Xenopus tropicalis: one gene and its partner. The main gene of each other region encodes a partner of the protein of the gene in region 2 in a complex. Links are inferred from orthologs where the notes say so. Each region holds a gene or a part of one and is shown on either strand. Other genes may lie near its edges.

What was found.
Region 1: med4 (region 2) and med20 share a complex: the UniProt entries of both Homo sapiens proteins name them as parts of the mediator complex. The link is inferred for Xenopus tropicalis from reciprocal best matches to the Homo sapiens genes MED4 and MED20.

Annotation. Positions count from the first base shown.
Region 1 is NC_030678.2:70,762,781-70,766,979, forward strand, and holds the start of med20 (mediator of RNA polymerase II transcription subunit 20), read left to right. Parts: upstream 1-1,354; 5' UTR 1,355-1,450; coding exon 1,451-1,464; intron 1,465-4,103; exon of another isoform or gene 4,104-4,199. Other genes in the region: bysl (bystin), read right to left, coding at 1,028-1,286. UniProt on the Homo sapiens protein: Component of the Mediator complex, a coactivator involved in the regulated transcription of nearly all RNA polymerase II-dependent genes.
Region 2 is NC_030678.2:134,878,356-134,882,413, forward strand, and holds the start of med4 (mediator of RNA polymerase II transcription subunit 4), read right to left. Parts: upstream 2,820-4,058; 5' UTR 2,819-2,819; coding exon 2,748-2,818; intron 2,678-2,747; exon of another isoform or gene 2,644-2,677; coding exon of another isoform or gene 2,528-2,643; intron 1-2,527. UniProt on the Homo sapiens protein: Component of the Mediator complex, a coactivator involved in the regulated transcription of nearly all RNA polymerase II-dependent genes.

The DNA of each region.
Region 1 (4,199 bases), about 64 Mb from region 2:
GTAAATAAGTTAATTCAGACTGTACTTAGTGAATGCTACAAGGTCTGTTTCTGTGGAGCACCGGTTCCAAACAATTCCCAGGGTAGGCCCAAGAGAACATGAAATATTTGTAATGCGAGTTAAGGGTCACAGTCTGAATACATTTAGTGCATGTTAGGCTATATTACACACTTTTTGTTCTAATTACAGCTAGTATAACTGAGCATACTGTACCTTGTCATGGCTAAATAGAACTAGAAAGCAGCACTGCCTGTATGGTACCTTTAATTTAAAAAGGGTCCTAAAAACATTTTTGATAAAATCAAATCTTAAAAATTAAGATGAAGGTGCAGTGTACAATCCATTTTTGCACACATGATTCCGGTCTTTTATAACATATACACTAAAGTATATATGCTATGTGGAGTATAATCATTAAAGGAGAATGCAAGTCAAAATTTAAAAAGCATACTGCCCAATAGTCCTCCTATTGTTTAGTAAAAATGCCACACTTTTGGCTCACCTAATCAAATATTTACTCAGTCACACTTACTTCACATATTCTAGAACAGGCAGCCATCTCTAAAAAGGTATTCTCCCTTCCTTTCCCTCCTTGCTTCATACTGCACATGTGTTTGCATGGAGATGCATCAGCATATAAAACAGCACATTAGATATCCTTCATTTTATCACAGAATGAAGTTAGCAAATTATTTATGTACAACTTTTCAAATATTCTTATATGTGTATGACTGTATCATATTATATACCTGGAATGTTCAATTTGAACCAGCTAATGAGCATTTGAGCATTTCTTTGGCCCCCAGTAGACTTTTTTTGCATGGCAAAATTTCAATATAATCTGGCCCTAAATGGATTACATTAATGGATTATTAAGACTGTCCCATACTCGTTTCTATGTATTTACAACTACAGCACTAGTTGTTGGTTATGACTCAGTCTAAAGACTCCCCACTGATTTTATATACCGGTTTAAAAACTTTTGTTTTGTATTCTGCCTTGGAAATGTTTCTTTACCCTTTTTTACCTAAAACAGTTGTCCTCTCTTTAGGGGTCACATTCCCCAGACTATATTCGGCCTCCAATTCCTCCTGCTGAATACGGGCCTGCTCCAGAATCCTTCGGGACAATTTCTCGTCCACGTATCCATCATCTTCGGCGTCGTCTGTAGGTTTCCCCTTGCGCTTATTACGGAACGAGGGTCTAATTTCTCCCTCCTGTTCGATCTGATCAGCTAAGGGGAGTAAGCGAGAAGCAGCTCCCCGAGAATTTTTGTGCTTTGGCATTTTCCTGACATACACGTGCATAGATCCACACACTGCGCATGCTCCTATTCCCCTGGCATCGTACGCCTCGATGTGGGACTTGCGTGAACCGCAAATAATGACAACAATTTTGAGCGCCGTGACGTCATAACACGTCGCTGTGTTTTGTACAATTAAGTACCAGCATGGGAGTGACTTGGTAAGTGTTTGTCATTTTTAATGTAGTAGTAGAAAAAGAAGAAACGTCATTTTGATGTTTGCAGATACGTGTTAACTTCTGGATTGTTTTTATCTTTTGTAAACTAAGTTTACGCTTACTTATTTGCATGACTGCTGCTTTGTTAATTATAGAAAAACGGAATCCTACGAATTCAACACTGCAGTGCAGTATCACACTAAGAATGCTATGGGTAATAGGGAGACAGTTAAAAGATATCCTTTTTTAAAAATCAACACTGTAAATATAACCTGTTGAAAATGTATTCTGCCTCTTATTTTCAGGATTTTTTTTTGCCTTTGTTAAGGAATAATAGAATTTTTTAATGATAATTTTGAACCCCCAATAGCGTTGCTGGTAAAAAAAAAAATGTGCTGGATGCCAATGTTATTAATAGGGTATAAAGTTATGAATATAGGAAGACTGATATACTATACCAAAATATATCTGTCTTATGTTTATCTTCCTTTCTTATAAATAACATTAACAATAGCCATGATTTCTTTTTTTGCCTAGGCAGCAACCATACTTCCTATTGCTGTATGATTGCCTTCAGCCTGCATCCTCCAAATGCCACCATTGTACATAACCCACAATGCATTGGAATGCTCCAGGAAAAGAAAATCACAGTAAATTGGATATAGATTTTCTCTTTTCCTGTTCACATTCTCATGGCAGTCCGCACAATTGGGAGGGAACATACACATACCAAATGCTGCAAAATACTTTACTTTTTTATTCAAAATCTGCAGAAGCAGAAACATTTTTTAATGCTTCACAAAAATATTAGGACACCTCCAAATTGCTGCTTTGAAAATCTTTTCTGGTGACGCTAAACCTTTGAGTGCCCATGATGCTGCCATACTGGATACATCTTACAATATACATGCCAGTGTTTGCTTAGCTGCACTGGTAATATGAAGAGAGATTTTGTTTTTCTTAACTTCTTTGCCCTCTTTAGAGTCATCTTAAAGGAACAGTAACACCAAAAATGTATATATTTTAAAGAAATTAAACTATAATGTACTGCTGCCCTGCACTGGTAAAAGTTGTGTGTTTGCTTCAGAAACATTACTAGAGTTTATATAAACCCTGCTGTGTAGACATGGGGGCAGCCATTCAAAAGAAGAAAAGGCACAGGTTATATAGCAGCTAACAGATAAACCCTGTAGAATACAATGGTGTCTTATCTGTTATCTGCTATGTAACCTGTGCCTTTTCTCCTTTTTTCCTGCTTGAATGGCTGCCCCCATGGCTACACAGCAGCGTATTTTTATAAACTATAGTAGTGTTCCTGAAGCAAACACCCCAGTTTTACCATTGCAGGGCAACAGTACATTATATTTCAATTACTTTAGAACACTTTCATTTCTTGGTGTTACTGTTCCTTTAAGACATCAAGGTTGTGCCAACAGATTTCTTTATCATTCTGCGGACAAGCAAATTTATCTTCCTAAAATATTAACAAATCTTCTGAAATATATAGTTCCTGGAGTTTGGACACTCTTCTGGCCAAGGTTATGGCCAACAAAAACACAATTTGTTAATTTTAAGGAATGTCCTGAATAGGTTGAAATGATTCTTTCATGAGACTTATGAGAACCAAAGGTAAATCCAATCGTCGAACACTTTTTCTGGATTGATATGATGTGAACCTTGAAGAAACTGAACTATCAGAGGATTTGTAGCCCATTTAGTTTCATTAGGTACTGATAATGGCGTTACTTGTCTCTCATCCACTCCACTTTGCAAAAATTCCAGAATGTGGTTAACCTCAGGACATAGGCAGATTATAGTCCTTACTTTCACACTACTTGAAAAACACTTCCCATACCTGATGGTAGCTTTTTCTTGTGGAAATTTTCCTGGAATATAGTTCTGATAACTTAGTATTTGGGCATTGTAGGAGGTTGCCATCAAATCCATTGCTCTTGGCCCGCATCTCTGATCGATCTCCTGAAAGATGCTGTGGTTCAAGAAATCTAAAAAACTTGTTTTTCCCTGGAGTAAAGACTGCTGTTATAGACCGGAAATTTACCTCTGCCCACAGGAACAATTTTCAAGATAAGAGAATTGCTCTTCGTGCCACCCTGTCCACATACTGGACTGCTGTGCTGTTGTTGCAGAGGATTATTTCTGCCTTGCCTTTCAGCTCTTTGAAAAATTATCTCCAATGGGAAAAATGCCTTGAGAGCTAACCAAAATGCTTCCATTTTCCTTTGACTGGACAACCAAGTCCTCTGGAATCAACTACATATTCCCTGTCTTCACAGAGTCGTGTGTGGACTGCCATAGGAATGCAAACGGGAAAGAAAAGAACTGTTTTGCATGTGGATTTTAGCATATACAAATGGTATTCATATGTTTTTAAGGAACAGATTACAGTGATAGGTATAGTAGGGGTTTTTGTGTTATGTGGGGCTCTTTAAAGGAAAACTATACCCCCAAACAATGTAGGTCTCTATTAAAATATATTGCTTAAACAAGCTAATATGTAAAAGCCTGCTTCATCTAAATAAACCATTTTCATAAAAATATACTTTTAAAGTAGTATTTGCTATTGGGTATTCCTAAATAGAAATTTGCCATTTTAAGAATTAAGGGCCGCCTCCTGGGATCATAGGATTCAAAGTGCACACAAACAAGCCACAGCACACATACGTGTTAGTTGACATTAGCCAATTAAAGGACAAACTTCTGTCTTTTGCTTTCACACT
Region 2 (4,058 bases):
CTGAAAGTTTGGATAGTGTTTATGCACATTTTTTACATAACCCAACTAAATGACTTCATGTCCAAAATAGGGGAAGAAACCAGGGGTAAACCTGCCAGTTTCCAGTCATAAAAAGACCCCAAATATAAGAGGATCTAACAGCCAGACAAAATATTTGACTTCCAAAATTGTGGTTTCCTGTGTCAAATGATAGCTTAAAGAAGAATGAAAGTTAAAAATCACTGGGGGTGCCAAATGTTAAGCAGCACCCAGTGATGATAATCACTTGCCTGATACCATGGGCTGGTGCTCCTGTGTGTGAAAAACTGTTCTGGCCTGAGGTCTGATATCTGTAGGAGCACCACATCATCATCTTCCATTTCTTCGTCCTTCTTGTTGGCCCCTGGCCAGTGCACATGCACAGTACAGTGACAAGCTGTTTTGTTGTTTCACTGAGCTTTTCACTCTGCCATGTATGCGCACCCAAACCAGGGCTCAAGAGAAGTATGAAGCAAAATAAGGTGGCAACAAATAAGCTCCTACAGAAGAACCCCAGGCCTCAGGTAAGCAATTACTACTGCAACAGCTAAGCTGCTCATGCATGCTCTCATCCTATCCCGACTTGACTACTGTAACCTGCTACTAACCACCTCCCTAACTCCCATCTTTCCCCCTATAGTCTATATCAGTGATCCCCAACCAGTGGCTCAGGGGCAACATGTTGCTCACCAACCTCTTGGATGTTGCTCTCAGTGCCCCCAAAGCAGGTAGTTATTTTTTTTAATTGTGTTGCTCTCCAAGTCTTTTTACATTTGACTGTGGCTCACGAGTAAGAAAGGTTGGGTCTGGTCTATATTAAAGGAAAACGAAAGGCAAAATCACTTGGGGGTGCCAAAATGTAAGGCACCCCCAAGTGACTTTAACTGCTTACCTCGTACCCCGGGCTGGTGCCCCTGTTAGAAGAAAACAGCACCAGCCCGGGGTACCTGGAGCGGATCGCTTCCTTCTTCCTGCTTCCGTTGCTGAAATGCCAGCGGTGGGCGCATGCGCAGTAGAGTGAAAAGCCGACTTTAATGTTTAAGTTCAGCTTTTCACTCTACTGCGCATGCGCGCGCAGCGAATCAGGAAGAAGGAAGCGCCGGCAGCTACCCCGGGCTGGTGCTGTTCCCTCCTCACAGGGGCACCAGCCCGGGGTAAAAGGTAGGTGGTCAAAGTCACTTGGGAGTGCCTAACATTTTGGTGACTTTGACTTTCTTTTTCCTTTAAATACTGCTGCCAGAATTCTCCTCCTCTCATCCAGGAGAGTTCAGGCCCTTCCCCTGCTAAAGTCCTTATCGTGGCTTCCTATTAAACAAAGAATATCTTACAAACTCCTTCTCTTAACCCTCAATTCCTCTGCTCCTTACTACATCTCTTCTCTTGTGTCTCCCTACGTTCCTGGCCGACTCCTTCATTGCTCGCAGAGCAACCGCTTTGTTGCACCCCCCACTACTACTGCAGTTTCCTGCCTTAAACCTTTCTGCCTTGCTGCTCCTTACATTTGGAATGCCCTCCCTGATTTCCTCGGGAGAGAATCCTCCCCCAGTCTTTTCAAAGATAAATTTAAAGACTACCTCTTGGAGCACTCACCCAGCACCTGATCTGGGAACTAGCACTTATATTGTCACCCACTGTAACCTACAGCACTTATAGTTAAAAATACCCTCCTATATAGATAGTAAGCTCTACGGGGCAGGGACCTCCATACTTTTGTGTCTTTGGCTCTTAACTTATTGCAACTGTATCTTGTATTTATTTGTATATATTGTTATCCTTTGAATTTCTGTTATTATCTTAATAACCCCGTTTGTATTAATGTAAATAAAGATATACATACATACATTATAATAACATCAGGGTGCCTACAATTTTGGCACCCCCGGTGAATATACTTTTACTTCTCCTTTAAAAGAGTTCAATAGCCAAGTATAAAATGTAGTTGCCCTGAAGAGCCACACTCCCCCTTCCTGTACCACATCAATGAACTCTTCTAATACAGCCCTGTCTGCTTTTCCAAAAACACAGAGTAGCGCAGTGGAGCTAGTGTACACCAAACTGCTGTGTAGCTTACCATACAATGACAGAATTGCAACATGAGTCAATGTATTTTTTATAAAGTGTCATTTTTCCTTGTGGTGCATTACAGTGTATCCCATGTTTCCCACAATGACTGATATAACGCTGAAGCAATAGCAACAGGTCTTACTTTGCCATTTGACTAAAGGAAAGGGGGGTTTGAAGAAGGCAATTCCTCAGCACCTTGAGGAGCAAGGGGCTCTAATAAAACAGTCGGAAACCAGGGGTGGTGCCACCCTAAAAGAAACCTGAAGGAAGATCAGACAAGTATTCATGCGCCAAACCACATCCATATGTATCACTGTGCGCCACTGCTATTCCCCATGGGATGGCCTGTCCCCACCCACCGTTATACATCAACCGGGGCCCTTTACAGATATTATTCTGGCCCACTGTGCAGTAAGAACAGCAGGAAGGACAAACCCCAACTTACAGGGCTTTTAGGTGGCCAGATAATAGGGCAACGCTCTGTAAGCGCACAGCGCTATTATAACAAAGAATCCCGCACAGTGGAATTCCGAACTTCATTGCTCGTAAGGTGCCAAGCATTTGGCTCTGCAGCTGCTGGAAAGCCACGCAAGAAACAATATTGGCTCCAAAGTATTAGGTGCAGTCCCGAGAAATAAAATGCCCGTGTCGCATAACGCCCTCACCTAGACAGCACTTCCAAGTCGTCCAGGAAAGACATCAGCCTTTCCTTCGTGCTCTTCTCCGGAACAGCCATGTCTGCGGATGGAAGAGAGGCGGGGCTAACGAGCAGTTCCGGGAAGGAATCAAGAGAAACAAGTATCTGTCGAAAAGCGCAGACGTTTTTCACAGCGCCATCTAGAGTAATTTAATGGAACTTAGCGATCCTACTCACATAACTAGCAAATGCCAGTTGGGCAGTGATGTAGATGTCGGCTGCGGCAAATTCACTGAACTGGGGCCTATGGGTGGAGGCTGGAGAACCCCCCCCCCTCACCTGGTGATGAGCTTTCAGTCATATTCACATTGGTGCCATTCACAAACCTACTCATGGTCCTCAGCCAAACAAACGGCCATGATCACAGCATTTGGCCAAAGCATGTCTAGACATGGTGGCAGGACATATTGGGACACTCACATTTCTTGTTTTCCAGCATTTCATGGATGGCACAGTGCGGTCCCCTTAACAAACAAAAGTACTATTTAATGCACTGGTAAACAAAACGTGAGCATTTCTTCCATGAGATTCAGGAGAATACAAATTCACACATTTGTCTCTTAGGGGAACTGAGACTGGCAGCTTAAAGGGCAATTTCACCCTTTTCACCAAAATGTCTCTGAACACCTCAGAATTCATTTGTCTGCTTCTGTCCTGTTTCACATCATCAATAAACACTAGTGTCCCAGTGCCACCGACAGACGTGCACGCCCAAGCCATCACACTGCCTCCACCTTGTTTTACATATGATGAGGTATGCTTTGGATAATGAGCTGTTCCACGCCTTCTCCATACTTTTTTATTGCCATCATTCTGGTATAATTTGATCTTGGTTTCATCTGTCCAAAGAATGTTTTTTCAGAACTGTGCTTTTTTAGATGTTCTTTAGCAAAATCCAATCTAGCCTTTCTATTCTTGAGGCTTAGGAGAGGCATGCACCTGCAGTGCACCCTCTGTATTCACTTTCATGCAGTCTTCTCTTTATGGCAGACTTGGATATCGATACACCTACCCCCTGGAGAGTGTTGTTCACCTGGTTGGATGTTGTGAAGGGGTTTCTCTTCACCCTGGAAATGATTCTACGGTCATCCACCACTGTTGTTTTCTGTGGACGTCCAGGTCTTTTTGTCCAGGTCTTTTTTTCACCAATGGTTGCGTTCTTTCTCAGGATGTACCAAACTGTAGATTTTGCCACTCCTAATATTGTAACAATTTCTCGGATGGGTTTTTTCTGTTTTCGCAGCTTAAGGATGGATTCTTTCACTGGCACGGAGAGCTC